Callithrix jacchus: one gene and its partners. The protein of the gene in region 4 purifies or fractionates together with the protein of the main gene of each other region. This does not show direct contact. Links are inferred from orthologs where the notes say so. Each region holds a gene or a part of one and is shown on either strand. Other genes may lie near its edges.

What was found.
Region 1: the proteins of CXXC1 (region 4) and WDR82 purify together in Homo sapiens (affinity purification with western blotting; 7 studies listed by BioGRID and IntAct, with this or other methods). This does not show direct contact. The link is inferred for Callithrix jacchus from reciprocal best matches to the Homo sapiens genes CXXC1 and WDR82.
Region 2: the proteins of CXXC1 (region 4) and BOD1L1 purify together in Homo sapiens (affinity purification with mass spectrometry; 5 studies listed by BioGRID and IntAct, counting the BioPlex papers as one, with this or other methods). This does not show direct contact. The link is inferred for Callithrix jacchus from reciprocal best matches to the Homo sapiens genes CXXC1 and BOD1L1.
Region 3: the proteins of CXXC1 (region 4) and SETD1A purify together in Homo sapiens (affinity purification with western blotting; 16 studies listed by BioGRID and IntAct, counting the BioPlex papers as one, with this or other methods). This does not show direct contact. The link is inferred for Callithrix jacchus from reciprocal best matches to the Homo sapiens genes CXXC1 and SETD1A.
Region 5: the proteins of CXXC1 (region 4) and SETD1B purify together in Homo sapiens (affinity purification with mass spectrometry; 11 studies listed by BioGRID and IntAct, counting the BioPlex papers as one, with this or other methods). This does not show direct contact. The link is inferred for Callithrix jacchus from reciprocal best matches to the Homo sapiens genes CXXC1 and SETD1B.
Region 6: the proteins of CXXC1 (region 4) and OGT purify together in Homo sapiens (affinity purification with mass spectrometry; 3 studies listed by BioGRID and IntAct, with this or other methods). This does not show direct contact. The link is inferred for Callithrix jacchus from reciprocal best matches to the Homo sapiens genes CXXC1 and OGT.

What each region holds. Positions count from the first base shown.
Region 1 is NC_133516.1:34,801,732-34,807,168, forward strand, and holds the start of WDR82 (WD repeat-containing protein 82), read right to left. Parts: upstream 3,139-5,437; 5' UTR 2,849-3,138; coding exon 2,688-2,848; intron 1-2,687. UniProt on the Homo sapiens protein: Regulatory component of the SET1/COMPASS complex implicated in the tethering of this complex to transcriptional start sites of active genes.
Region 2 is NC_133504.1:180,293,296-180,297,934, reverse strand, and holds part of BOD1L1 (biorientation of chromosomes in cell division protein 1-like 1), read right to left. Parts: coding exon 1-4,639. UniProt on the Homo sapiens protein: Component of the fork protection machinery required to protect stalled/damaged replication forks from uncontrolled DNA2-dependent resection.
Region 3 is NC_133513.1:30,506,485-30,511,123, reverse strand, and holds part of SETD1A (histone-lysine N-methyltransferase SETD1A), read right to left. Parts: intron 2,496-4,639; coding exon 1,443-2,495; intron 1,201-1,442; coding exon 1,028-1,200; intron 916-1,027; coding exon 805-915; intron 598-804; coding exon 478-597; intron 1-477. UniProt on the Homo sapiens protein: Histone methyltransferase that catalyzes methyl group transfer from S-adenosyl-L-methionine to the epsilon-amino group of 'Lys-4' of histone H3 (H3K4) via a non-processive mechanism.
Region 4 is NC_133514.1:93,469,508-93,474,845, forward strand, and holds the start of CXXC1 (CXXC-type zinc finger protein 1), read right to left. Parts: upstream 3,540-5,338; 5' UTR 3,431-3,539; coding exon 3,428-3,430; intron 2,698-3,427; coding exon 2,579-2,697; intron 2,479-2,578; coding exon 2,378-2,478; intron 2,101-2,377; coding exon 1,865-2,100; intron 1,772-1,864; coding exon 1,592-1,771; intron 1,206-1,591; coding exon 1,179-1,205; intron 1,102-1,178; coding exon 856-1,101; intron 694-855; coding exon 574-693; intron 419-573; coding exon 234-418; intron 1-233. UniProt on the Homo sapiens protein: Transcriptional activator that exhibits a unique DNA binding specificity for CpG unmethylated motifs with a preference for CpGG.
Region 5 is NC_133510.1:125,008,240-125,012,878, reverse strand, and holds part of SETD1B (histone-lysine N-methyltransferase SETD1B), read right to left. Parts: intron 2,662-4,639; coding exon 2,549-2,661; intron 1,324-2,548; coding exon 91-1,323; intron 1-90. UniProt on the Homo sapiens protein: Histone methyltransferase that catalyzes methyl group transfer from S-adenosyl-L-methionine to the epsilon-amino group of 'Lys-4' of histone H3 (H3K4) via a non-processive mechanism.
Region 6 is NC_133524.1:68,863,075-68,867,147, reverse strand, and holds the end of OGT (UDP-N-acetylglucosamine--peptide N-acetylglucosaminyltransferase 110 kDa subunit), read right to left. Parts: intron 3,598-4,073; coding exon 3,423-3,597; 3' UTR 1,294-3,422; downstream 1-1,293. UniProt on the Homo sapiens protein: Catalyzes the transfer of a single N-acetylglucosamine from UDP-GlcNAc to a serine or threonine residue in cytoplasmic and nuclear proteins resulting in their modification with a beta-linked N-acetylglucosamine (O-GlcNAc).

The DNA of each region.
Region 1 (5,437 bases), on a different chromosome or scaffold from region 4:
GCTGAGGCAGAAGAATTGCTTGAACCTGGGAGGTGGAGGTTGCAGTGAGCCAAGATTGTGCCACTGCACTCCAGCCTGGGTGACAGAGTGAGACTCCGTCTCAGGAAAAAATAAAAAGGAAAGAAAATCCATGTCGAAGTGTTTAGGGATAAAGGGGTTTGATATTTCCAACTCTAAGGGTTGGGGGCCAGGAGCGGTGGCTCACGCCTGTAATCCCAGCACTTTGGGAGGCCGAGGGGGGTGGATCACGAGGTCAAGAGATCGAGACCATCCTGGTCAACATGGTGAAACCCCGTCTCTACTAAAAATACAAAAAATTAGCTGGGCACGGTGGCGCATGCCTGTAATCGCAGCTACTCAGGAGGCAGGAGAATTGCCTGAACCCAGGAGTCGGAGGTTGTGGTGAGCCGAGATTGCGCCATTGCACTCCAACCTGGGTAAAAAGAGCAAACCTCCGTCTCAAAAAAAAAAAAAAAAAAAAAAGGGTTGGGGGGAGGCACACAGTATATATAAATATTTACATGCAGTAATGAAGCAAATGCAGAAAATGTAACCAGTTATTGAATCATATGGCAGTTCTCTGAAACACTTGCAAATTTCTATGTTTGTAATTACATAAAAATGCTACATGAGTGAATAAACTGCCTGATGTCACAAAATTGGCATTTTACTCTTAACAAGACAGGACTTGGCCAGGTACAGTGGCTCATGCCTGTAATCCCAGCACTTTGGAAGGCTGAGGAGGGTGGATCACCTGAGGTCAGGAGTTCAAGACCAGCCTGGCCAATGAGGTGAAACCCATCTCTACTAAAAACACAAAAATTAGCAGGCCATGGTGGCGGACACCTGTAATCCCAGCTATTCAGGAGGCTGAGGCAGGAGAATCGCTTGAATCCAGTAGGCGATAGTTTCAGTAAGCCAAGATCATGCCACTGCACTCCAGCCTGGGCGACAGAGGGAGACTGTCTCAAAAAAAAACCAGACCAGACTCATGTCAAGGTTATACTTCCCAAAGAGAAATTATGCCAAATTTGGGGACAAACTGCAAAGAAATGCTATCACAACCTTCATTTTCTTTAAATGAGGATATATGATCTCCATCCTCATATTCTGGGAAGAGGTCCTAATCTGTGCATAAGCACTAAACGTTTCATGCAAGCCAGCTTCAAATTACTACTCCAGGACTCCACAACTCCAGCTACTACCATACCTTTAAATGTTACTTCCTCTTCTAAACTGATTCAAGTGACCAGACCAGGACAGAAATCTATCTACTAAATGAGTAACACTGACTCAAACTATTTGCCCAGCTAACAATTCCCTCCTCAAGACCACCCTGCCACATACTGCAAGCAGATCCAGAGCCAGTTACATAACACTTTTTCACAGCCCCAGTGGGAAAAAACTGGGGGTGGGGGGGGGATACCACTATAGCTCAGTCCAAACTAGTGTTACCTCAGATAATCAAATTCACAAATGAAAAGACACGTTCCAAAAGACACCAGGGGGGGAAAAAAAAAAAAAGCAAAAGAAACAGCTGGAGAAGGTAGAAAAAAACCCAAGATCTCAAAAAAACAAGATGTGTTACTAAGTAACAAAATCAAGTCTGACAAAACCAGGGGCCACCGATTTAAACCAAACATCAGCAAGCCTTCATGGGGAAGGGGGCTGAGGGTAAAACGAATTTAATCTAAGCTAGTTTTGGCTCCAAGGAGCTGCAAGTCCACAGGCGTGCGGTGAGGGGGCTGCCAGGGACCCCCCAGGGAAAAAGGCAAAGTGCCGTGCTTAGGTTTTGTGAAAAGATGCAGGTGTGGTGGGTCTCCAGATGACTTGCGGCAACATAGAAATGTCATGGTCAGAATTGGAATTCAAAGTGGACCAACATATTTAATAATAATTTTTAAAAAAGGATGAAAGGAAACCCAAAAATGTTCTACGATGCTTGCTTTGTTTTAACGGAAGCTCACATTCAGGTCAGGATGGGACGACCAAGTTTGTTTGTATGTGGCAAAAAGGAAGTTTTAGATGCTGCTGAGAAGTTCACTTAAGAACGTGGGCACCGATTCTGACGGAGTAAGAGAGAGCCTAGGAACAGGAAGAAAATGCAAGGGGGCTCAAAGAGGCACAACAAATAAATCCTGACAGCTAAGAACTGCAACCCACGCGGCCTGACGGCAGAAAGGTCGCAAGAAGCTGAGGGGCAGGGGATGGGCGGAGTGCCAGGGAGGAATCGAGGTCACAGCGGAGAGGGCAGAAGAGAGAGCTGCCGAAGGAGTCAGGAGAGCCGCCCCTGCAGTCCTGCGACGAGGACGGAGACGACCAGCACCTTAGAGAACCTGAGGAGCTGAAAACGCTACCTGCTGGGCCCGGGGTGGGCAGACCGGGCGTTTAAAGGTCAAGGTCAAGGTGGGGCTTGGCAAGCGATGCATAGCGCTTTAAGGAGACCTTAGACATACAAATAATAATGCCATTATTATGACTATCACAATTTTTTTTTTTTTTTTCAGAAGAAAAAATAAAAGGTCTCCTGGACGGCTGCGGGGTGAAGGTGGCCCTGGCAGGAACGCGTGCAAAATAGACCGGGGACTGAAGTCGAGACGGAGGGCGGGCAGAGGGACCAGTGCTGGGCCACCGGAGGGAGGGAGGGAGGGACTGAGACCCGGGCCCAGGGCCTCCGCCTCACTCACTTGCCCTCCTGGCAGTCATAGAGCACGATGGAGTCGTCGTCGCTGCTCGAGATGACCGTCTCGCCGTTGGGGCTGAAATCGAAGCAGTTAATCTTGTCCGAGTTTTCGCGGAACACCTTAGCGACGCGGAAGCTCCGCAGCACGCTGTCGGTCAGCTTCATGGCGGCGGCAGGGGAAGGCAGCGGCGGCGCAGGGCCGGGGCGGGGCCCGGCGGCGAGCGGGCGGGCTGCCGAGGGGCCAACCAGGCGGGGCCGGCGCCGCGCCGGCGGCTAGCGGGAAGTCGGCCGACAGTTGGGCCGCCTCCTCCCCTTCCTCCTGCTTGGACAACAGTCTTCTGCCTGGACTGTGGAGCCTCGCCGATCTTTGGTCCTCACAGCCACCTCAGGGGCAACTAGCGCGTAGCCGGCTCATTGTGTCCGCCATCTTGGGGCGACAGGCAGAAGCGGAGGGCGAGGAGCTTTAGCCGCGGCGCACGTCGGGAAAGGGGGCGGGGCGGGAACAGCCGCGCGAGGCGGGGAGGCGGGGCGGTGACGTCAGCGCTGCCGCTGTCGAGTGTAGTGGCTCGGCGGGCTGCTGGGAGGGAAGGGTCGGGACGTGCAGGGCCTTCCCCAGGGTGTCGGAAGGTGGCGAGTGCCTGGGAGCCGGGGGCCCTTGCGCGGGCTTGCAACATCCCCCTACGAAGGCTCGGGTGTCCCCTACAGGCGCCCCAACCGCAAGCCGCGCGGAAGGGGTGCTTTGGGGTCGGGAACGCGGCTGGAAGCCGGTTTTGGGGGTGAATCAGGTGAACCGCTCGCAGGCGGTCTTGACCGCTACTCCACCGCAGCGCCCGCTTAGACAGCTTCGACCTCTTTACTATTTTATTGGGCTGTGATATACAATAGAGTGCACAATTTTTTTTTTTCAATGAGACGGAGTCTCGCTCTGTCGCCTAGGCTGGAGTGTATTGGTCTTATCTCCGCTCACTGCAACCTCTGCCTCCGGGGTTCAAGCAATTCTCTGACCTCAGCCTCCCGAGTAGCTGGGACTACAGGCGTGTGCCACCATGCCCAGCTAATTTTTTTTTATTTTTAGTAGAGATGGGGTTTCACCATGTCAGTCAGACTGGTCTCGAACTCCTGACCTCAGGTAATCCAACAGCCTCAGCCTCCCAAAGTGCTGGGATTACAGGCATGAACCACTGCTCCCGGCTTCATAACTTTTCTTTTTGAGAAGGAGTCTCACTCTGTCCCCCAGGTGAGTGCAGTGGCAAGATCTCAGTTCACTGCAACCTCCACCTCCCAGGTACAAACGATTCTCCTGCCTCAGCCTCCTGAGTAGCTGGGACTACAGGCTCTCACCACTACACCCAGCTAATTTTTGTATTTTTAGTAGAGATGGGGTTTTGTCATATTGGCCAGGCTGGTCTCGAACTCCCGACCTAAGGTGATCTGCCAGCCTGGGCCTCCCAAAGTGCTGGAATTATAGGCATGAGCCACTGTTCCCAGCCAGAGGATACAGTTTTAAATTCGAATTTCTTCTTCTCTTCATATATATGCATATAAACCTTATAGATGCAACCCTCGCCCCTTTTAGTGTTAAATCTTACACATTTTTCCATGTTAGTAAACCGGATTGTTGTTGGTGTTCTTGTTTTTTGATATGGAGTCTCACTCTTGTCACCCAGACTGGAGTGCCATGGCATGATCTCAGCTCACTGCAACCTCTGTGCTATAGCTGGAACCTGAGCAACACCATTTTAGAAAAGACAAAGCTGTTTTTCAAAAATAAGTTGTAACGGCTGCCCCATTCTCCTCACAATGACTGCTAACCTTGGCTTCTGTAAATAAAACTGCTTACCTTTTCTTTCTTTTTTTTTTTTTTGAGATGGAGTTTCGCTCTTGTTACCCAGGCTGGAGTGCAATGACGCAATCTCGGCTCACTGCAACCTCCGCCTCCTGGGTTCAGGCAATTCTCCTGCCTCAGCCTCCTGAGTAGCTGGTTACAGGCACGCGCCACCATGCCCAGCTAATGTTGACCAGGATGGTCTCCATTACCTGCTTACCTTTTCTTATCACTGACAGCCAGAATTGCTGGCCTTTGCTTACCGGTAATGACCAGAATAAGCAGCCCAAGTTAATTCCATCCTGGCTCCTGTGACTTGTAATAGGTAACTAAGATCTGTGGATTCCACCACTGCCCAGACGATGTGTAAACCCTAGCCCTTGGAATGTCCAGAGACCTGCACCCTCCTCTCTGCCAGGGAGGTGATTTACGGAATCCCCTGGCCTTCAGAATGTCTGAATCCCTTCACCCCCACCCCGCCCCACACGCTCACCCCGGAGGTGGTTTATGGGCATAAAAGGGTCTTGTCACCCTCCTTTTGGGGCCACGGATTGGAGAGATGTGAGTCCTCTGTGGTCGCTGGCAATAAAGACCCTGCAATTTGGCATACTTTTGTCTTGGTGCTAATTTTATACTCAATCCAAATACTTCACCTCCACCACTCTAGGTTCAAGTGAGTCTCCTGCCTCAGCTCCCTGAGTAGCTAGGATTACAGGTGCTTGCCACCACGCCCAGCTTATTTTTGTATTTTTAGTAGAGATGGAGGTTTCACCATGTTGGCCAGGCTGGTCTCTGACTCCTGACCTCAGATGATCCGCCCATTGTTGTTCTTTACTGAGGTAGACTTTTAAGTACAGTTAAAAAAAAAAGCCTGTTTAGGCCAGGCAAGGTGGCTCATGCTGGTAAACCCACCACTTTGGGAGGCCGAG
Region 2 (4,639 bases), on a different chromosome or scaffold from region 4:
CTCCCTCCTGAGGGACAGCACTGGACACTGGGCCCTCACAGTCTTCCACTGAGCTCGTAGAGATGATAGCACTCCCGTCTTTTTCTTCCATGACTGTACCAGCTCGCTCACTTTCACTTTCAACAACCACACTGGAAACAGAATCCTCACACTCTTCTGCTATGCTAGTGGAAATGAGAGCACATTCATCCTTTTCCTCTTTGCTGGTGGAGGCAAGAGGACTTTCAGCTTCTGGGGGTGCACTGGGCATAGGCCCGTCAAAGTCGGCGGTGCTTATCAAGACTGGACCTGTAGTCCTTTCTTCCATTGCGGCAGCAACTGGCTGCAGACTTCCAGCACACTTCATGGTTGTTGCACTGGAGATAGGCACTTCGAACTCTTCCCCTATGCTTGTGGAAATCATAGCACACTCATCTTTCTCTTCTTTTCTGCTGGCAGTGAGCTGGCTGTCATCTTCTGAGACTGCACTGGGCATGGGGGCCTCAAATTCTTCTGTGCTTTCTCTGGTACCTTCCATATTTTCTTCAGTTCTCAGAGCAGTTGAGTGACCTCCTTCTACATCTATAATGGTGCTTATGTGAGGGGTGTAATCATTTGTGGTACTGGTGGAAATCATTAAGCCTTTGCCTTGACTTTTACCCCCAGCTAGGCTATTTTGGTTGGTAATATCATCACTGGCCGTAGTCGCCATGAGGCCAACACATTCTTCATTTTCTACAGAGGTGATGATGCCCTCATCTTCTTTTTCGCTTGGTGAAGTGTGGGCAACTTCACATTCTGGAACTTCACCAGATACAAGAACGTCATAACTACCCCCCACCAGGCCAGTGGAAATAGTGATATCTTCAACTTTTTCAAGCTGACTGGCACTCTGATCAGAAGCAGCACTAGTCATAGGTCCCTCACAACCTCCTGGAATTGGTGTCACTTCATCCTTTCCAGAGATTGCACTGGTCACACTGCTTTCCACAATGCCTTTTGCACTGGAGCAGATATCTGTGTCTTTACTTTCTTTCTCTGCACCACTCATGCTGTCAACATTATTTTCATTTGCATTCATGATGGCAGCTCCAGCCTCAGCTTCCACATGCTCTACCACAGTACCAATCTGACTGTCCCCTTCTGCACTTTCACAAACCAATACTCCTTCACTTTCTTCTATCCCTGTGCAAGTTGAAGCATGCCCAATTTCATTTCCTCTTCCAGTACTAGTCACAACACCCTCCCCTTCCTCATCTTCCTCTTTTGCACCTGTGCTAGTCACAATGCCTTCATCATCACAAGGACCAGCAGCAACTAATGGTACATTAGTGCATTCTTTGGCTACTGTGCTGTCCATTGCAATCTCTCCATTTTCTTCTGATTCAGAACTCATAGCAAAGCCTTCGCTGCTATCTTCTGAACCTGTGCAACTTGCTGGCCCTTCTCCGTCTTCTGTTATCCCTGTGCTGGTGACTGCACTCTCACCTTCTGTACCATCATTCACAGAACCATCTCCTTCTTGGCTGGCGCTTGTTCCTGGTGGTGCATCGTTATCTACCAGGACAACACCTGCACCTGTAACCATGTGTTCCTCCCGGGACTCTGCTCCTGTTACTGAGCAGATCACAAAGTTATCACTTCTGCCTTCTGCTCCTGTACATGTCACAGTGCCCTCTGTTTCTTTTTTGGGACCCATTCTCATATTTCCCCGGGAGCCATCCACCTCTTCACTGCTTATAGATCCGGCTCTTATTTCTGTCCCAGCACTTGTAACTGCTCCATCACTTTCAACCTCACTAATAAATGTAATAGTTCCTTCAACTATTTCTGAGTCTCTACTTGAAGAACCATCACATTTTTCTTCAGAGCCTGCACTGGTTACAGCATCATCCTTTTCCTCTGTCACAACACTATTTATATTGGCTTCGATTTTAATTGCATGAACAGCTAGTAGGTCTGCTGCTCTGTCCTCAGACTCAGCCACAGCACACTCCCCACTATCTCCTTCCTTAGTGCTTGTGAGGAAGGTTTCACTTTCAGCAAATCCTTCTGTGACAATAGCCCCACCTTCTTCGGCTGCAGCAAAAACAGTGCACTCACTGGCTTCCGCACCAACACGAGGAGGATTATTTCTGGAATGTATTCCTATTATGAGGCCTTCGTCTGCCTCAATGCTGGTGCAGGGCAAAGCCACCTCACTCTCTCTTATTTCCGAAGAAGTGGTTGTGGCAGCCCCAGCCTTCACTGGACTTAAGGTGACATCTTTGTCCTTCCCTTCTGTACTAGTGGCAACGGAAGTCTTTCCTGCTCTCCCAGGTCCAGTTGCCACATCCTCAGTTTGTCCATTCCTTTGCTGTAAAACAAAGGGTGCAGAGCCACTTCCAGCACTGGTGTCTACCTCACTGTTCTCATTACTTCTTTCAACATCAATTGATATGTCTTTTACTTTGCCTAGGCCTCTTTTATGCTTAAGTTGGACAGTTTCAGTGTATTTTTCTGTACTTATGCCTACAGCATGATCAATAGTAATGCTATCCTTCTTGTCATTCTCTACTGTTGCTTTAACTGTCTGCTTTAAGTTGGGCTCTGCATTTAAGTCACTTTCTTTCTTGGCTACGTCTACTAAGCCACCTTCTTTGGTAACATTCTCATTTTCCACAATCATGCCCATTAACTTGCTTCCAAGAGGCATGATTATCTTTCCTTGTCTGCCATCCAATAAAGTAGCCTGGTGACCTTCTGGAATGTGTCTTTTGCTAGAGATGCTTGCTTTTGCTGGTGTATCTACTGTGAAACTGTCACCACCTTCTTTGCTGTCACTTGTCTTAAGGACTTCTGATTCCTTAACAGTCAGACTTTGAATAGGGAGAGCAGAGTGATCCACAGGGGAGGTGCTGGCTGTGCCACCTTCAAAAACAGTTCTTTTGTCAAAGAGAGGAATTACATCAGGATCACAAGATTCTCTCAGAGGCACAACAGTCACTGAACTTAAGGATGGAGAGGAGTCTAAATTTGTGGAATGTTCAAGAACAACATCTCCTTGAGCAACATGTTCTTCAGTGGGTTTGGCTGCATTTTTCAAATTATTCTGTACCCTATCATTTTCTGATGGGACACTTGGTAACGTTCTGTGAACAGTTTCAGAATCTATATTCACGTCATTAGTTCCTCTATGAATGGGTTCTTTCTCTCCAGGGTTCAGTTTGGACACAGCACTCTGGAAATGCATTTTCTTGGTCAGGGTACTTCTGTGGTCAACATGCTTTTCAGAATTACTGTTAACTCCTGTTCCACGGCCTGACTTACAAGCTGGAGCTGTTGTTTTTGAATCTGCTGTGAAAGTTCTTAATTCATCCTTTAAAACTGTGGCAACCGTTTTTTGTTTCATATTTTCAGAGTCAATGTCTTGCTGAGAATTATTATTGCTATTGTCTGGGGTTTTAGATACTTCAGACACATTTTCAATGCCTGGCTCAGAATCAATTTCCATTGGCTCTTGTTCAGGGATCAATGTTGTATCACCACTCTTTTTTGGTCTCTGAAGGGAAGAACTGCTGGGAGTGCTCAAAGTATTTGCTGCTAATTTTTCTTCTCCTTTGGTCATTTCTTGTGATAAGCTTCCCCTCTTTTCACAAAACCTTTTACTTAATTTCTTTTCCATGACTGAACTGTTACCTCTGGCCTTTTCATGATTACTGTCAACTTCTTTACCATCCTTGTCATCTGATTTATTTTCTTCCTTCTTTTTTATGTCTTTACTACTATGTTTCAAGCTTCTGCTTTTGTGGCCATCTGACAACTTTCTCTCAAGCCTAGTGGAAGTGGAGTCTTTATCACTCTTATATTTCTCCTTTGCTAACGGTAACCTGGCTCTGTGACTAGAATCTTTCTGTGTACTATGTGCTGAAGAAGAAGCAGTCTCTAACACAGGTTCAACACCAGTTTCTTCAAAAGGTTTGTCTTCAACTTTAGACTTTCGCTGTTTTTCTGAGTCATTCTCTTCTGTGTTCTTCTCCTTGTCTGGTTTTGGAGTGGTTGACTGTTTTGTGACACCTTCTTGTAATTCTGTTTCTATAACTTTTAACTGTTTGCCTTGACTTTTTGATTTAGACTTCAACATAAGTTTCTCCTCTAACAAGCTCTTCGTTCGTCGTTTCTCCTTGTGAACAACCTCTTCTGGTTTCAAGTTACAATCCATGTTAGTGGGGTCCATGTCACACTTATCTTCTGAATAACTTTCACTTCTTCTTTGTAATGTAATACCATGTTGCTTGGAACTCAGAGAGTCTTTTTGAATTTTAGAATCACTTGATCTTCTGGACTTGTGCTCTGCCTTAGTTTTTTCAGCTGACAAGCGTCTCTCTTTTTTGTTGTTTTCTTTGCGAACATTCTCATCTGTTTTTATAATATATTCAGAAACTGGCTTTCCATCTTTGCCTAATACTGATAATTTCCTTTCATTCCTATGTTTACTTTTTCGTTCGGCTTTATCATCTGTAGAGAGCTTTGTTTGTTGACTTTGCTTCTGATTAGTTTCCTCTGCTTTTAAACCTTTCTCAGAAGAGTGAAGTTCAGTGTCATCACTTGTCTTATGCACACAATCACCTTTATATTTATGTTTCATAGACAGTTTGTCTTCTGATGGAGTTTTCTCTCT
Region 3 (4,639 bases), on a different chromosome or scaffold from region 4:
TAGGCATTTGTTTTTTCTAGAGACAGTCTCACCCTGTGGCCCAGGCTGGAGTGCAGTGGTGCAATCTTGGCTCACTGCAGCCTCCACCTCCTGAGCTCAAGCAATCCCCTCACCTCAGCCTCCCAGGTAGCTGGGACCACAGGGATGCACCATCACGCCCAGCTAGCTTTTGCATTTTCTGAGGACATGGGGTCTGGCCATGTTGCCCAGGCTGGAACACTGTCCTTTTGTGTGGATACTTGTTCAATGCCTGTCCTCCCCCTTCCCAGGCCCTTGAAAGGGAGAAGTGCCATCAGCTGTGCCTCGTGCTGGAACACTGGCACCTCCTGACTGCACCGGAGGGAGGCTGGTCTCACTGGTTAGGTCTCGGGGCTAGGGGGTGTGCGAGGCTTTAGCCAGGACAAATGGCATGTGTATGCGATCTGGTGCTGTCTTGCTGCATCAGGAGTTGGGGCGGGGCTGGGAGTTCAGCCTCACCTGACGGATGTTCTGACCCACGTATTCGATGACCATCTCATCAGCAGCAATGGGTTCCATGGCAAACAGACCCCACTCGTGGATGCGGCTCCTGCCAAATCGGAGCTTCTTCTTCCGGAACTGGGGGACAGAAAGGAGACTCAACTGCCGGACACCTCCTACACCTCAGCCCCTTTCTCTTCCCACAGAACTCCCAGGCAGAGAGTGTTCTGGCCGCTCACTACCCCCTCAGCACCCACAGGGACCACACAAGCCTGCTGAGCAGTCCCCTGGCCTCTGCCCCTTCCTGTCCTACTGCAACCCGCCCCTACTGCCACTGGGCCTCACCTTGAGCTGGTTGAGCTTTAGCAGGTCACTGTCCATGATGGCAGAGGTACCGATGGCGCTCAGCAGCCTCCGCTGCTCAGATCGGCGCTCGGACAGCACGCGGTTCGTCCCCTGTGAGAACAGCCAGGGAGGAGGTGAGCAGGGCAGGGAGGCTGAGTGGTGGGAGAAGCGCTGGAGGAGGATGCAGCACGTGATGGTGGGGCTGGGGCAAGGTTGGGCCCACCTGAGTGTCCACGCCCTCCAGCTGCCGGGCCGAGACTGGGCACACGTCCAGGTACTTGTCCTTCTCCTTCTTGCTGATGGGGTAGTAGCCTTCGCTGCGGGCTGAGCCTGTCTGGTGCTCCCGGGGCCCGTCCTGGGGCCGCCGCTTGCGTTTTGGGGTGGTTAGGTTGGTGAGTGCGAGGTGTTAAGGAAGAGACTGTCTCCTCTCTGGCCACAAGCATCCCAGCCTGAGGAGAGGTGGGGCCCACACCGTTGAGCACACCCAGGTGAGGGAGAGGGGAGGAAGCTCCAGCCCCATGGTTCCTGCCAGAAATGCTCTGGGAGGCAGAAAAGAGGCACCAGGAGGGGTCGGAGAAGGACCCATGCCCACAAGGCCCAAGGAAGGCCACCCGCCCTGGCGCCCATGCTCAGGATATTCGTGTGATGGACCCAGTGGGTGTCATTGAGCCAGTCAGCCCCGCTTGTCTGCTGCAGCAGCCGCTCGTACGTAAGCCGCAGGTAGCTCATGTCCTCTGAGTCCAGGCCCGAGTTCCAAATGTCATACAGGATGGTCATCTGTTCAAACTCGCTGCGAGGTTCGTAGGCGCGGGGTGGTGGTGGCGGGGGCAGAGGTGGAGGGCGGTGGCGCCGGGTGTGGGAGCGGAGGCTGCGCCTCCGGAGGGCGCCCTCCCCGTCGCTGCTGCTGCTGCTCTCGGAGGACTCCTCCTCATCTTCTCCCTCCTCCTCCTCTTCCTCCTCCTCCTCGCCCTCCTCCCGCTGCTGCTGCAGTTGCTGGGGCTTGGGCTCCTCCGCCTCAGCCACCACCACCTCAGGGGCCTCCAGGACCTCATCGGCTGGGGAACTGAAGAGGGCGGCGGGTGCGGGCACTGGCTCCGGGGGCCGTGGAGCTGGTGCTGGGGGCGTGGGTTTGACAGCCAGGGCATAGTTGTGCTCCAGGAGGATGTGGCTGAGCAGGGGCCCGGGGCGCTCAGCCTCGTCCAACGTCTCTGTGGCCTCCGAGTCATCAACGGCAGGCAGGGCAGGCAGCCCACGCCGGGAGGGAGTCAGGGCCAGGTCAGCCAGTACTGCCAGGTCTACCTCTGTCCCTGGCTCAGCCTCTTCTTCCTCAGTGGTGCGGCCTCGGCCTCCAGCCCGGCTCCGGCCTCCACGAGACACCTCCTCAGGCCAACTCTTAACCAGAGACGCGTGGTCCAGGGGCAGATTGCGGATGGTCCGCTCCATGCCCCGGGGGGCCTTGCGAGAGACTGGGCCGGGAGACTTGGCCTGCGGCAGCGTGGCTACAGGGGGCTCTGGAGCTGGCATCACCTCGGTGGCAGAGAAGGAGACAGTTTTCCGGCGTTTCTTAGGTGGGGGCAGAAGGGGAATGGGAGAAGAGGGGCGCTCCTCAGTGCGTGGGGCAGGGGCTAGGGGCCCAGCAGGTGGCTCTAGGGGAGGCGGGGGCACACTGGGGGGCTGCTCCTCAGCAGGGCCTGGGAAGGAAGCACACAGGAAAGGGAGGTCAGGGAGATCTAGGCTCAGCTGCCCTGGCCACCCATGACCACAGGCTGTGCGTTCTCCCTGGCTTCTGCCCAGGAACTTCGAGGGGTACACAGACACCACGGCCTCAGCCCAATGGATGGTGCTCAGCATTCCATCTTGGCCAGATGGACTCCCTTGATGGGAGGGGGTTTCCCACCAGCTCATTCCCACCACGACACGCGAAGGGGATGCTTGGAGCAGACAGACACCTTCTATGTCTTCTGGAGCCACAGCCCAATGGGGGATGCCAACACAACACAAGCCATGGACTCCACTTTCCTACCCAAACTGGCAGAAGAGCCCTGCACCCAGTCCCCAGCCATGTCCCATGCCAAGGATCCAGTCAGTCACATTTCAGCTAAAATATCCATTATCTCCACCATAAACAACATTCTCAGTTTAGCAAAGTGAACACAACACAACCTAAAAAGCAGCATCTTTGTATTAAAATATTTTATGTAACTTGCCTTCCTCCCCCTCCCCTACAGAACTGGGACCTGCCCTGTGGGGAGGGGCAGGAGACAGTCCTGCTAGAGAATCGAGGCTGGAGCAGAGATCACAGGATGCAGGTGGCTGGGGAGGGGACACACTGGCTCTGAGCTGGGGGTACTGCCTCCCCAGCCACCCCCAGGACAGGGAGTCCATCCTCCCTGGACCCCCATCCCTGGGAAAGCCTGAATGAGCCTTTCAGAGTCAGCCCAATGGATTTTTGTGCCTAACAGCAATCACACCTCTTACGTAGAGTAACTCATGTAATTCTCACAAGAGCCCAAAGAGGTTCTTATCTTTTTTTTTTTTTAAGATGGAGTCTTGCTCTGTGGCCCAGGCTGGAGTGCAATGGTGTAATCTTGGCTCACTGCAATCTCTGCCTCCCAGGTTCAAGCAATTCTCCTGCCTCAGCCTCCTGAGTAGCTGGGACTACAGGCACAGCCACCACACCCGGCTAATATTTGCATTTTTAGTAGAGACGGTTTCACCATGTTGGCTAGGATGACCTCCATCTCTTGACCTCATGATCCACCTGCCTCTGCCTCCCAAAGTGTTGGGATTACAGGTGTGAGCCACTGTGCCTGTCAAAGGTTCCTATCTTACAGACAGGGAATCTGAGGCACTAAGATGAGGTTACAGTTACCAGATGACAGAAGGAGCTCTGCCCCCAGGCCATGTGAGTTTAGCTTATGCTGTGAACTGTAGCCCAGACTCAGTGGCTTTACAGCTGGCTCCCCCACTCAGTGCCAACAGGGCCGCTGGCACCAGGTCTGGCCCTAGGGGCAGCAATCCGCCTGAGTCCACTGCACTCCCCACCCTGGCGACCTGAGCCAGGCCCTCAGCGGCTCCTTAGGCTCTGAACACCCGCTGGGGTCTCAGTCTGTGGCAGCAACCCACTCCAGGAAGCTAGCAAGGACCCAAATACACCCGGGCCTCCTCTCATCTTCCTCCCTACCATGCTGGGGCAGTGCCCCCCACATATCACCTTGCAATCCAGCCCACATGTCCTTGGGAAGCCTGCCCCAAAGGAGACCAGTCCCCTCCCAGTGCAGCTGTTGCACATACACTTCCCTCTGCAACTGTCCCAAAGGAAACCTGCCCACCCTTTTCATTTAGGAGACAACTTTTGGGGGCATCTGCCCACTCAATATGACTTCCACGGTCTTTCTCTGAGAACTGTTCTCCTGCCATGCTCAGGTCCATGGGGTGAGGCCCCAGAAGCCAGTTCCTACTGTATAACCTACCCATCCCCAGGGCCATCACTAACATCCCCAGATGGCATCACTAAGATGGTGGTCACTGAAACTGGTTCCAGTTACTAGAAACTCAGTGAGCCAGCCGGGCACGGTGGTTCATGCCTGTAATCCCAGCACTTTGGGAGTCTGAAGTAGGTAGATCACAAGGTCAAGAGATTAAGACCATCCTGGCCAACATGGTAAAACGCTATCTCTACTAAAAATACAAAAATTAGCTGGGCATGGTGGCGAGTGCCTATAGTCCTCAGGAGGCTGAGGCGGGAGAATGGTTTGAACCCAGGAGGTGGAGGTTGCAGTGAGCTGAGATTGAGCCACTGTACTCCAGCCTGGGTGACAGAGCTAGATTCTGA
Region 4 (5,338 bases):
AGGATGGCAAAATAGATGCACGACTAAATGGCAAATGGAGAAGTAAATAGGTAACAAGTAGAATGGTGGATGAATGGACACATGGGCAGATGGGTGGGTAGGTGGTTGGGTTGAGCGGGTAGTGGCTGGTGACTGAATGGTGGATAGCTGATTGACTGGTAGACAACAGAAGGCTGTGGTCAGGCCCTACCATGCACTTCCTGACTCCCTTAAACCCCGCAGGAATGGCTCACTTGGCTGCCAGCTTCATGCCACAGTCATCTGAGCAATACTTGGAGCTGGGCTGGGCGGGGCGCACACAGCCAGGCCCCAGGCACTGAGGCAGCGACGCAGGGTCCTTGGCATCGTTCCTCTCTGGGTGTTTCCATTTATCCTTGTGCTTCTGCTTCTGCCGATGCCGCTTGTACCGCTCCTCCTTCTGTGGAGCAAGACAGGTCAGGTCAGGGTGGTCAAAGTCAGCCCCAGACCCCGGTCTCCTGCTCCATTCCAGCCCTTTCTGGCTCTTGCCCCATTAAGCCTCTGAGCTCTGCCTCTCCCTCATCCCCACCCTCTGCCTTTCCACATCCATTTTACCCTCTCCGTCACCTTCTTCTCAGATTTCTTCTCCCGACGCTTCACATGCTTCACTTTCACTGCCCTCTTCCGAAGCGCGGGGTCCAGGAATGGGGACTCTTCTGTGTCGCTCATCCAGGGCTGCAAGCAGGGCATGCACTGACCCACCTGCCCCCCTCATGACAACCCCACCACCTACTCATGTCCCAAATCAGCCTTCCATACCCTCTGTCTCCTCATTAGAGATACTCTCTGCTTCTGTCACCTCCACCCTTCCACCAGGGGATGCGCCTGTCTGCTCACCAGGCCATGGTCATCAAAGGCCCCTGCACAGAAATCCTGATACAGGTCAGGATCCAGAGGTAGGTCCTCATCTGAGAGTGGCTCAGGCGTGGCTGTAGCCTCAGGAGGCTCCTTGACTGCTGATGACGCCACTGCCCCCTCATCTTCACGGATGCGCCCTAACTTCTGTGACGGCTGTGGCTGCTGTTGGGTGGGCAGTGGCCGACGGGGCCTTGGCAGGGACTCTGAGGGCGTCACTGGCGAGAGCTGCAGGGCAGAATCTCAGGACTGGCCCTGACCGCCCTGCCCACATGCCCCGCCCTGCCCTGGGGGGCTGGACTCACCGAGGAAGGGAAGTACTTGTACGATTCCTGTGCCGGCAGGAGGAAGGCCCAGGTCAGCCCCAGGTGGATGGAGTGTGGCCTTGTCCTAGCCCCACCCACCTGGCCTGGCCTTGCCTCCCTAGACATACCTCCCCGCTATCCCTCATTACCAGGACATGCTCAGCCCTGCCTGATCCTCACTGACATGCATGACCAACTGGAAACACCTGGCCCCACTCTGTCCACCCAGGGTTAGTGGGGTTTCTGCCAGCCCAGCATACCTTGTCATGCCCCATTCATCTGGACATGACAGGCCTCTTTCCACCTATCTAGTCAGGCACAATCCCACCTGGCCCATGCCTAGACTTAACTAACCCTGCATGGACCCACCAGCTCTCCCACACCTGACCCTACCCAGCTCTGTCCATGCTCACCCGGGCCCGCAGCTGGCACTGGCGCAGCCGGCATTTCTGCCGGATCTTGTTGGGGCCTCCAAACTTTTTCATGTCCCGACAGAAATCACAGTGACCACAGTCCTCAGTGCGCCGACATGCCTCGCACTCACCACACATGCGGGCTGACCGTTTGATCTGCTGCTGCTGCTGCTGCTGCTGCTGGAGGAGGGGGCCCAGAGAAGAAATCACCGACCCAGGCAGGGCCAACATGGAACCACTTTACACATCCACGCACTTTATACAGCCACTCACCTGGCTGGGTGTGGCCACCAAGGGCTGCGGAGAGGATTTGTGGGGTGAAGCAGAGCCCCGAGCAAGCATGGCCCCAACCCCTGTCCCTGACCCTGCCCGACGCTGCAGGTCTGGATCCGGGACAGGCCTCTTGCGCCCTCCACCCTCATCCCGGGGCTCGCTGCCATCCCGCTCATTGCCATCCCGCTCCCGTGACTTCTTGTGCCGATAGCGAATCTCTAGCTTGGGGTCCTTCTCTGTGGGGCAGAGAGTAGGGATAAGGTGAGCATGGAGGGCATGAATGGTTCCAAAACCTCTTTATTCCCCTTTTCTCCCTTACTGTCCCACTTACCTATTCACCTCTGTACACGACAGAGCTGCCCCTTCCCGTGGGGTCTTCTATTACCACTCACAATGCAGCCCCCATTCCAGCTCACCACAGACATGTATTACTACTCCCCATTATCCCCCACTGTGGCTCCCCCACCGCCTCTGAAGCCCCTCCTGACTTCCTTGTCCATGCATGGCCCTCACCTCGGCACTCCCGACAGTACCACTCCCGGATGGCCTTGGCCATCTTCTCAGTGATCCGGATGCAGTCCCCATGGAACCACTCATTGCAGTTGTCACACCCGCTGCAGAGGATGGGACAGGTGGTGAATATGTAAGGGGCACAGCCAATGGACCTTACCCCACCCTGCCAGTGTCAGTCCCGCCCACCTCTCCCGGGCTCACATCATGAAGCAGTTGATGTCCGGTTTGCGACAGATGCAGTAAATGGGCGCATTCTCCCCATTCTCCGACTTGCTGTCCTCCCCAGCATCTGGAGGCTCTGGGTCTGAACCATCACCCTCCTGCGGGACACCCCCATTACGGCTCTTTAAACAGCCCCCACCGTGGCGGCTCATCCCAGCATTACAGCTCCATCATGGTCAGCACGGATCCCCACTCTGCCTGCAGATTTCCCATCGGGGCCCCCAAAAAACCTCTCCATCACAGTCCCCACTGACTCCCATCCCTTCCCCTGACATCCCATTACTCGGCTTCATACTTCCCATCACACACCCACAGGCACCCGCTCCCTCTGTCTACACTCACTGGCGGGTCATCGAGACCCAACATCGTGGCGCCTCACAGACCCCGCCTAACTCACTCCTTGAACTTCCCATCACGGTTCTCCACGCATCCCTCCCTGTTTACTTCACAGACCCTCCCGGCACCCGCACCCCCAGTCTCAGCTGTCTACGGATCCCCGGCCAGGGACTCTTCCTCAGCACGGCTCACCACAGACCGCCCAAAGTGATTCCTCACAACCCCCTTATCCCTCTGCCCAAAGAACCCCCAATCATGGTTTCCCACGGAACTACCGGGTACCCGGAGTCCCCACTAAACTTCTATTACGGACCCCCACCGTGGCTCACCATAGAATTCCCAGATGGCTCATCATTCTGCCCATAGACTCCCGCCGTTCTGTCCAGACTCCGGTTATCGCTCACCACAGACCCCCTAGTCGGCCGACAGACCCCGAGGTTGCCAACCCCACTGACCTCCGCCGCCGAATCCCTCACTAGACGCGGTACTCACCATATCTCCGCTCCCGGCGCACTCCTTCAGGACCCCGGCCGCGACCCGCGAACCTACACAGACCCCCTCAGCGGCGTTCCAGGCGGTTGCAAAGGCGCCCACAACTACTTCCGCTTCTGGTCACGCCTCCCAGGCAGCGTACTCCTGTTGCGCAGGCCCCGTGAGTCGTCTCCGCCGCAAACCATTAGGCGCCGCCATCTTGATTACGTATCCGTATGGTGGCCGGATCCATACCATCGCCGGGAACATGGCTGCGCTCAATCCTGGCTTTCGCGATGGGGCCGCCACCTTGTCAATAGAGTCCGTACGGTGGCTGCTGGTACTGTCTCGACGTACAGGTAACATGGCTGCATCTACTGCGTGACTTCCTCACAGATGCCGTCATCTTGGAATCTGATTCCGTACGTGGGTCGAATTAGTACGGTCCTAGAAGACACATGGCGGCGACCTAATTGCGGATTCCACAAGGGCGCCGCCATCTTGATGGTTGATTACGTACACTGGCCGCTTGTCAGAGAGATTCACAGGTAAAGCTGCCGCTCCCGAAACACTACCTGGATCAAGTCTTATTCATTCCTCCATTCAGTCTCTTTCTCTATCCACATGCGTTAATGGGGCGTCGACAGGCTATATACCTTCCGCGGTGGAGGAAACCAGTTCTTCTGTCGTCTCCGACTTCACCTGCCACCACTCTTTCCGGATCTCACTCCTCCCACTTGTCATTCTTCTGCCAGGCCTGGCACGGTTCAGCTTCTATTTATTTTATTTTTATTTAAAAACAGTTCTAAAACTAACATCAAATCTTATTTTAGTTCTATAAGCTGCACAATAAGCCTAAGCACAGTTTACTTACCCATTTCTTTGTTGCTTAGCATTTAGAACATTTTCAAATGTTATTGTAAATAAAGTTGCAATGAACATTCTTAAACATAGATCGGTATGCTCATTCCTGATTATCTCTTGTGAAATATGATATACAAAACGATGTCACTCTGGTTAAGAGCTGTAAAATGGAGCCTGGAAGCCATTCTAAGGACTCCCCGCAAACTTGCAAAAAGGAAAACAAACCAAAACTAAAACACAACAGGAATTTGCCTCGAACCTTTGAATTGGTCCAAACTACAACGACCACACGGTCCTGGAAACCAGCTATATTTCACCAGTGCTGCGTCTCCTGAACAAAACCAATGAACTATAGACTCATGCTGGCCAGCTGCCTCCAGCAATAATAATTCCTTTAAAAGAATTTGTGTAATCATCCTTAATTTCCTTTTTATTTTTCTTTAAAACTCCTACTCCCATTTCTCTCTTTGGAGCACAATCTGACTTTGAGCTGAATCTGGGTCTCCTGAATTGCAGTTCCTATGCCCCAATAAACTCCTGCCTTGCAGCTTGGTCTGTTGCCTCTTCTTAGTTGACACTCCTGAGAGATAACATTCTAAAAGTAGAATTACTTTATAATTGACTATAAATATTATAAGACATGTTAAAATTTGTCGGAGGTCATTGGTTTGGACAGTGCTCCTGCAGGAGGCCCCACCAAAAATGGAGTCACCCACACTAAACTTTCATGCCACCAAGTCAAAACTAATTTGTTTATCTGACCTTCCAAGAAATAAGTAGAAAGATACAGAATAATAGCTAAATCCCCAAATGAGCCACTTTAGCTTGACAATCCCCTCTGCTTTAACCCTTTTTTAAAACGTAACCTGAAGCAACCTGATGTTAACCAGCTTTTTAAAAAAAAATTGTTCTTTTTCCTTGCTCCCACCTTACAAAATTCACTGTTCTGCTATTTCCCAGGGGAAGCTCTCATTCTATTTTGTATAATGGGATCTGCCCCAATTAATGAAGTGCAAGTAAAAGCCATTACATCTATAACTAAATTTGTTGTAATTTTGTTTCTTGATT
Region 5 (4,639 bases), on a different chromosome or scaffold from region 4:
TTAGCTAGTCCTGCTAAATGCTTCGAGGGAGAAAGGGAGATGTAAGATGGACAAAACCAGTCCCAAACAGATGGACAGACATGGTGATACCTCATCCATCTTCTCTGAAGTCGGGGTTCTGTCTCCAACCAGGTCCAAGGCCACCTCAGCTGTCTGGCCCAGAAGCCCAGCAGGGTCCGGGGGACCGGGCTCAGGTGGAGGCCGAGGCCCAAGGCTCAGGTTGAGCTCCTCGTCCTCGTCAGAGTCTGGCAGAGGTGTTGGGCTGATGTCTTCCAGGCCGGTGCTGGAGGGGCGCGAGGATGGGGGAGTGGGGCCGCGGAAGCCGGGCTGGGAGTTGGTGCCGAAGGGGGCCAGCGGGGAGAGCTGGGAGGAGGAGGAGGAGATGGGGCTGCCCTCCATCTGCAGCTCAGTGTCTGAGTCGTGCACCGGCAGGAAGAGGAGTTTGGTGCGCTGCTCCTTCAGCAGCATCTCGATGCGTGAGTCCAGGCTGTCGTGGGGCTTCTCTGGCCCCGCAGGGGACGACTCCAGCGTGGGCGTGCCGGGGCTGTCACAGGGCTCAGGACTCCAGCCGAAGGTGGGCCGGCCGCCTAGTTCCATGCTGTTGGTGTCGGGGGGCGGCGGGCCAGGGGGCGTGCCTGGCTTCTCCTTGGCCAGAGGCTCAGCAGGTGGCAGGGGTGGGGGTGCTGGTGCCCTCCGGAACTCCCCACCGTCACGGGCCCCGAAGGCAGGGGTGGTGGTCGGCTCTTCTGCGGGTGGAGGGAAGTGGGCCACTGGGGTCTGATATGGAGAGAAAGCAGACTTGAATCCAGGAGCTGGGGTTGCTTGGGCGGGCGGTGGAGTGTGGGCAAATGTGGACGAATCCTGTGGTTGGGCCTTGAAGGGGGGGCCGCTGCTGCCCCCAGTGCCGCTGACTGCTCCAAATGGGAGGTCTGAGGAACCCCGGAAGGCGGCTGTGGCCCCAGCCACTGCAGTGACCGCGGGAGAGGTGTGGACATAATGATGTTCGTGGCGGCGGTTGTAGGCGTCCGTGAACTTGCTATCGTGGCGCCGGGCCTTGAAGGTCACTGTAGGGTCCTGGCTGAAGAGGTACGAGGGTGTGGGCTGGCGGCTGGAGTAGCTGGAGTCCTGTGAGAAGGGGGTGCCCAGGCGCGGCGTGAGCGGGGTGCCCTGTCCGTAGGAGTTGGGTGTGTCCAGGCGGCAGCTGGAGTAAGCCGTGTCCTGGGAAAACGGTGTCCCACCGCTATTGGGGGTGACAGAGGAGGAGCCGGAGCCACAGCCTGCAGACAGGCCTCCATCCTTGAGGCGCTTCAGGGCATCTGACAGCTAAGGAGAGAAAGAGAGGTGAGATCCCTTTCTCTTGGGGGGTGGGGCGGTGTGATTTCCCTTCTCACTCTGGCTGCATAAGGAATGGGAGTGGGGGATTGAGGAGCAATGTCAGGATGGTACTAACTTTTTTTCTAATCTTAGGGGTAACCAATTATGTTCAGGGAAACTTGAAGGTTTTTCCAAATTTCCCAGAGGAGCTAGAGAAGAGAGAAGACTATGACATCTTGGTTTAGGCTGGGATTTTCATTGCCTCTGGCTGTCAGAAATCAGACCTTCCAGGCAGGATTATGCCCAAGAACTATCTTGTGCCTGAGAGGATGGCCAAGGGCTTTGTTCTCCCAGCCGCCCAATGTTTTAGGATTTAAAGTGACAAACGGGTCAGGGCCAGGTGCGGTGGCTCACGCCTGTAATCCCAGCACTTTGGGAGTCCAAGGTGGGTGGATCGCTTGAGGTAAGGAGTTCAAGACCAACCTAGCCAACATGGTGAAGCCCCATCTCTACTAGAAATACAAAAATCAGCCACGTGTGGTGGCGTGTGCCTGTAATCCCAGCTACTCAGGAGGCTGAGGCATGAGAATCACTTGAGCCCAGGAGGCAGAGGTTGTAGTGAGCCGAGATCATGCCACTGCATTCTAGCCTGGGGACAGGGTGAGACTCTCTCAAAATAAAAAAATAAAAATAAAGTGATGAACAGGCCAGCGGCAGCTAAAGGCTCTTCAGTCCCGAGGTGACTGGATTGATGCCCAATGCCAGGGAGGAGCTGGCATGAGACTCGCCCCACACAAGAGTTGTCCCAAGTCCTGGGAGGCAGTGGTTTGGAAGGAGGCAGTCTTCCTCTGGAAGGTGGGGCATGAACTCCAGTTTCTGGGTTCGGGATAGTGGTGTACCCAGGACACGAGATACTAAGGACCCTGGAAGCAGCAATGTTTTGGCATCAACATGGAAAAGCGAGCCCGGGCAGGCTCTGGGTCTGTGGGAGTTGAAGCCTGTGCTGGGGACAGGGGAATGCCACAGGAAACAGGACCAATCCCAGGGAGCCCCACTGCAGAAAGGCTTGGGGGGCGTGGCCAGGCTTCACAACCTCCTAGGCCTTGGTCTCCAAAGCTGCAGAGAGAGAGGTGGGGTGGGCTGGAGGGGTCCCATCAGAGTTGGTGAGGCTTTCCAGAGGTGGGGGGCACATCAGAGCACTGGCAATGGGGCAGACTGACGGCCATAAACCCACCTGCAGGGTCTCATTCACAATTGGAGAGACAGCATCCAGCTCGCCCACTGGGAGGGTCTGCGGGGTGTAACGGCCAGTGACCAACAGTTCATAGAACCGCATTCGGGTTTCCCCTGTGGATGGGCAGGAAAGGGGTGACTCAGTGAGGTTCCAGGACGGGGCAGCCCCCACAGGGATTCCAACCTGCATGGCACCCTGGTGGGTCCCTTGGGCCTGAGACCCCAGGCCTGGCGAGGCTGTGTGACCCTGACCGAGTTCCCGCCCCCTCTGGAACTTACTCAGGGTCGCCACCTGTTCAACAAAGCTGCTGATCTACACCATTTTTCTGATCCTGAGATCCAGAAGCTAATGCCTCCTGGGGCTGAGACTCCTCTCAACTCAAACCCAAAATTGCTACCTGTGACACCAACCCCCACTCCATTACCTGGGCCATGGTGCCCAAAGAAAGAGCCAGGCCTATCCCCTTTCTGCTCAACAGCCAAGGGCTTGCAACAAGAGGACGGGAAGCCTGTGGCACAGAAGCCAGAGTTTGTAAATATCTGGGGCCAGGTGAGCAGTGGACTTTGCAATACACTCTAGGAGCACATTACCGTGAACGCCACAGCCCCTGACCAGGCTGAGGGCCTCAAGGCGGCCAGGGGCCTACCCTGAGCTCCAACCCTCCACCCCTCAGCAGACAGAGGCTTTTCTAGACCGGGCCCGGGGGTTATCGATATTTATAGAGTCTCAGAGGCAGCTGCTTACATATGCAAAAAAGACCCGTTCCTGGAGCTACACTTTACTGGTCTCTTTCTTGAAATACAAACTTAGCTAGCAGTCTCTGAGGGCTTTTGTGTTTTCTTTTTTTTCCCCAGAAATGAAATTTTGTTGAGACCTGGCTGCTGCTTAAAATGTGGGCCTGTGATGGGGGAGGGGGTGCCACATTCAATTCAGTTATGAGAGAAATCAGACTGCAGCCACCCAAGGTCCTCACTGCCCCCCATCCCCCAGAGACTGAGAGGCTGTGCCCTGAGAGGAGACACAGGACCAGGCACAGGCTCGGTGAGTGTGGGTGAAATAATCACCACCACCCCCGGCACCAGCTTAGAGTTTGGTCAATACATTTTAATCATTAAACGCAAAAAAAAAGAAAAGTTCTGATTTTCTTGCTTTGGGTTTGGCGTGTCCCGGTTGTCCCTGAACCCCCCCCACCCCTCACGAAATTCCTGGAAGCTGCACTTTTCCCCTCTCGGCATGGCTTCCCAAGGGACACTGGTGGGCTAGGGACCCAGTGTCTCCCCACAGGGCTGGCCCATCCTCAGATCACTTGAACCTTCTTTTACTGGTGGGAGCTTCCCTAGAGAGGCATCAGGCACACTTTGGGGAATGCCCTGGAGTCCTGCAAGCCCCATCGGTCCTGCAGGGGCCTCTGCAGACCCATAGGATGGGAGGTGTGGCCTCCCCAGCCAGCACCAGAGAGCACCCAGCTGATTCCAGTGCAGGGGAGGTGCTGCGGTCTCTTTAAGAGAGAGGAGGGAAGACACAGTGTCAACCCTGGAGCACCCTGAGCCTCCCGCCCCTCTCTTCCCAGCTCAATCAGGAACCTTATCAATGAAACAACACTCCCGGCCCCAGATTGGCTCCCACTTCCAAGGGGAAGGGGCAGCAAGGGAGGGAGGGGGACACCCTGAATCCTTAGAGGACTCTTTCTAGTTTCCAGACCTTCTCTTGACCCATTTAAAGGCATTCTAGTGGCACTCCCTCAGTCCCCCACAAGTAAACAAACTCTGCCTCCTCCCCTAACACAGGCAACACTGGGACTGTCTAAACCCAGGCCACCAGGGCTCAGAGAGGGGGCCCACCGGGGTGTCAGCGGTGGGGAAGCCTCCGGGTGGTCCCTAGGGGTGCGGTGGCCAAGGACCGGCACATTTGGTAAATTACAGACCGTCTCCTAGCAACAGACAACATATTTAGTTCCACTACTTTACCCTCAGGAGGGGGGGCAAGAAAATAAACAAGGTTTTCGGGGGAATCCCAAGGAAGAGTGGGGGGGGGGTCCTCCCCACCCTGCAGAAGTGGGCGGGGAGGTAAAGGGTCCAGCTGACAGGTATC
Region 6 (4,073 bases), on a different chromosome or scaffold from region 4:
AGATTCAAACTCTAACTCCAGTTCCAAAGCTTGCTCTTAAGCACTGGATTGCCTACCTAAATACAGTCACTTTCTCAGTTGATAGGGAATTGGGTGAAGGGGGCTTATTACTCTCTTTACAATAAAGTTGCAAATTAACCTCTACAAGCCTCTTTATAAAAATAGGGATTACATAATGTACCTCAGAGGTTTGGGCAAAGAACCAAAATGTTAGCTATAATTGAGAGGCATATTGGTCAAGTAAGAGTGAGTTAGGATTAGAATCAAATCTTAAAACGGGCAGTTCAGAAATTACACACATTTACTCCAGGTGTGCAAGCAACTCCTTTAGACTGAAGGCAGGAGGAGCTAAAGTAGACTGGAAATAATGCAGATTCTTCAACAGAAGCGGATAGGAGTAAAAACTTTTGAGTAGGCTACTGGACACCTTTCTTCCCATAGTAATCTTTTAGGAAACAAACACCAATCCACATTAGGGCTTTAAGGGTACAACCAACAGAAGTTGGGAATTATGCAAAATGCTACCGAAAAACATTGTCCCTCTCACTTATATCTCTGAGAAAACTGGCAAACAGTGTGTTCTGACCCCTCATGCACTGGTATCTTCCTTCTTCACGCTCGTGGCAGAGTTTGACCACTATACACAGCAAGAAGGAAAATAATTTTGCCCCCAAAGAGCCAAGAAAAGAATGGTCCACATGAAGACTGAAACAACAAGTATAAATAAAAGCAGAGAGGTCATAAGCAAAAGAGGAACAAGCATGAATGGGTGCGTTGGTGATCACAGCCTTTCTCTTTTCCTTTTTTGAGATGAAGTCTCACTCTGTTGCCTAGGCTGGAGTGCAGTGGCACAATGTCGGCTCACTGCAACCTTCACCTCCCGGGTTTCAAGCGGTTCTCCTGTCTCAGCCTCCTGAGTAGCTAGAATTACAAGTATGCGCCACCATGCCCGGCTAATTTTTTGTATTTTCGGTAGAGATGGGGTTTCACCATGTTAGCCAGGCTGATCTTGAACTCCTGACCTCAAGTGATCCACCTGCCATGGCCTCCCAAAGTACTGGGGTTACAGGTGTGAGCCACCATACCCGGCTGCTTTGTCTTCTTAATGGATCATAAACTAACCCTACCCTCCACCAGACCTGGCTGAGAAAACAATTCCTAATATCATAGCTAAAGAAGGGAAATTTGGTCCTTTAATACTGTTGGGAGCTGTTCAAATACAGGTTTCATCACTGGATGACCCTATTCTTCGGTAACACTCAATATAACAGGAGACAAAATACATCAGCCATATTAAGGGGAAATCATTCATTTATTGTTCAAGGATCGCAAGACAACATCTTAATTTCTGTAGCGCGATTTAAATGTTTTACTTCTTTGATAAAGCAGAGTACAATAGGAAAAAAAACAATTAGTTTCCAGTAATATCTATATCTCTAATCAGAATTAAGTCTTCCACAGACATGTTACCTGGAAATAAAAGCCTGTTACAATAAGCAAAGCTTCAACCAGAGCGGTTACTTTTCGTGCCAGGAAAAAGTTCATCCCTATAGGAGGAATGATGTGCTATGTAAAATGGCCGTAAAGTCACAGCCTTGAGGGCACTGGAAGTATATTATCCTATTATTCCACATTAAGTAATTCGGTGAATTTCAAACATTAGTTTATCTGCAACCATGCTGGCAACCTTTGATATTTCAATCATCAGGTAAAAAATAAATTAAGAAATCCCTTCACTGATATTCTGCGATTTACATTGTTAAAAGGTACATTGTTTATTAACATGTAATTCTGGTTCAGAATTACCTTCAAGACTCCTTGCTCAAAATTTGGTTAACAGTAAGAATCTTTCAGAAATTCAAGTTCTTACTAATCAATAATTTGTCAGCTAGGATACATTCAGGCATCAGCTGCAACTACAGAATAGGTGCACAGCTTCAGCACTTTGGAAAGACATAATCTAGAGTACTACTAGCAGACAAAAAATTATCTGCGACTGGATAGCATAAGTGCAGAACAGCAAAACAAAACATATATTCATATGTTGGCCTGTTTAAACCTCAAACCCTTAACCCTTTGTTAAGATCCCATAATATTATTCCTATGATTTTAATGTCAAAAACTCAAGTTCCAGGAGGACTGTAAGTCTAATTTGTACTCCAAACCAAGTACCAGTGCAGTTTGCTACTATTGAGGCTGAATCTGTACAGACTTCAAGACCAAGTCCAGAAGACAGTTATTATAGAATACCCTACAAGTTCTAAAAAATAGTTACTTGAATACACAGATGGTCCTTCAGAGATTTTACCTATAACCTGTTTCTTGATGAAAGTTATTTAATGCACCAGAGATAATTGTGACTTACTGATTTGAATACTTATACTTACCTGGGATTTCATTTCTGCTGAAAGAAATAGGAAGAACAGGACTCACTTAAAAAAAAAATTTAGAAAGGAAGGTAAAAATCTTAACACACACTATCACTTTTGGAAGCAGCATAGAAGGGGCAGTCAAGGGTAAAACACTGGTGAAATAGGTCAAAATTAGTCAAAAAAAAAAAATCTATATTATTATCAATGACAGTACCAGAACTGTAACCTTCATAATTAGTAATCACTCCTAAAAGTCTTCATTTGGCACCAGATGGTGTGTTTAAGAGAAACACCCTAGGATGTTTTGAATCAGACTTGATTTTGTTAGCTGAGTTACAGGAGAAATTTTAAGGGTAGGGGTGTGGGGGTCAGGGAAGAGAAGGAAATGGGAAATGGACCAGAAAATATCTTGAGTCATCATCTAAATCAACAAAGCACTGATAGCTCCAAACATTAGGTCAGACACTAAAACGACTGATATAGGCTCAAGTGGTTTATAAAACCTATAAAAAGACTACACCAGCAAAGTCCCTGTCGATCTGTCAGAGTTCAGAAACTAAAACAGGGAGTAATATTTTAGCTTAAAACCTTATCTCAAGAGAATCATATACACTTCACATGAATAAAAATACCTGAAACCAAACATTTTTAAAAGTTCCAATACCCAAAATATAAAGAAAAAAATTCATCCAGAAGATTGAATCAATCCATGGAATTGCAAAGCGGCTGGATAATCTATATCTCCCCTCCACACTAACCATCCCATGGAAGACCAAGGGAGATCAGACTTTCCAGACCTATGCATCATCTGGTTGCTGCAAAATTCTACGGAGATTCCTTGTGGAACAACAGCAGTTTCCCATCTCTTATCTCTTGTGTCTCTCCCTATCATGCAGGAAGCAAGTCTGGCTGTGCTATTCTATTACCATTATATATCACCCATCTGCAACAAGGTACTGTACAGACAAGTAAGAAGTATGTTATCTAGTTCCCTTTCCCCCAGAAGGCTGAGGCTCAGGTATAGGGGTAATTCTCCTGTGCAGTCTTTCTTTACGCTGACTCAGTGACTTCAACAGGCTTAATCATGTGGTCAGGTTTGTTGCCAGCTGCATAATGCTCCCACATCTGTAGATAGAGCCGCTCTAGTTCCATTGTGTATTGTTTGGTGTTGAACAGAGGGCTAGATATTCTTTGCTTCCACACTTTGCCACGAATTTTCTTCAGGCTGGGTAATAAAAAAAGAGTTTACCAATCAGAGCGGAAACTCAGAACCACACCCTATAAATACCTAGTCCCCTTTGTGGCAAAAAATGCATGACCAAACTTTACACTATCTCATTTCCTGACTGGCTTCCTGCTGTCTCAATGCTGAAAATGGGAAGGGTCACAGCTTACATAATGCTAACACTGAAATGAGCTCACCTCCATGTACTCTGAAAAAACTCAGTTCTTTTCTAAACAAGTATATCCAAGGGATACAACGCCTTCTCCATTTCGTCTCATTTCTACCTTTAAAGTAAGAATTGACAATGGCACATGACTATTCCTATGTACTGTCAGAACATAAACTGCTTACCTTTTGGTAATCAATTTAGCAATGTATGTATTAACCTTAAATGTTCATAACCCTCTGACCTAACAATAACACTTTTAAATCTATTAATTTTTTAATTTATTTTCTTTTTAATTTTGAAATAGTTT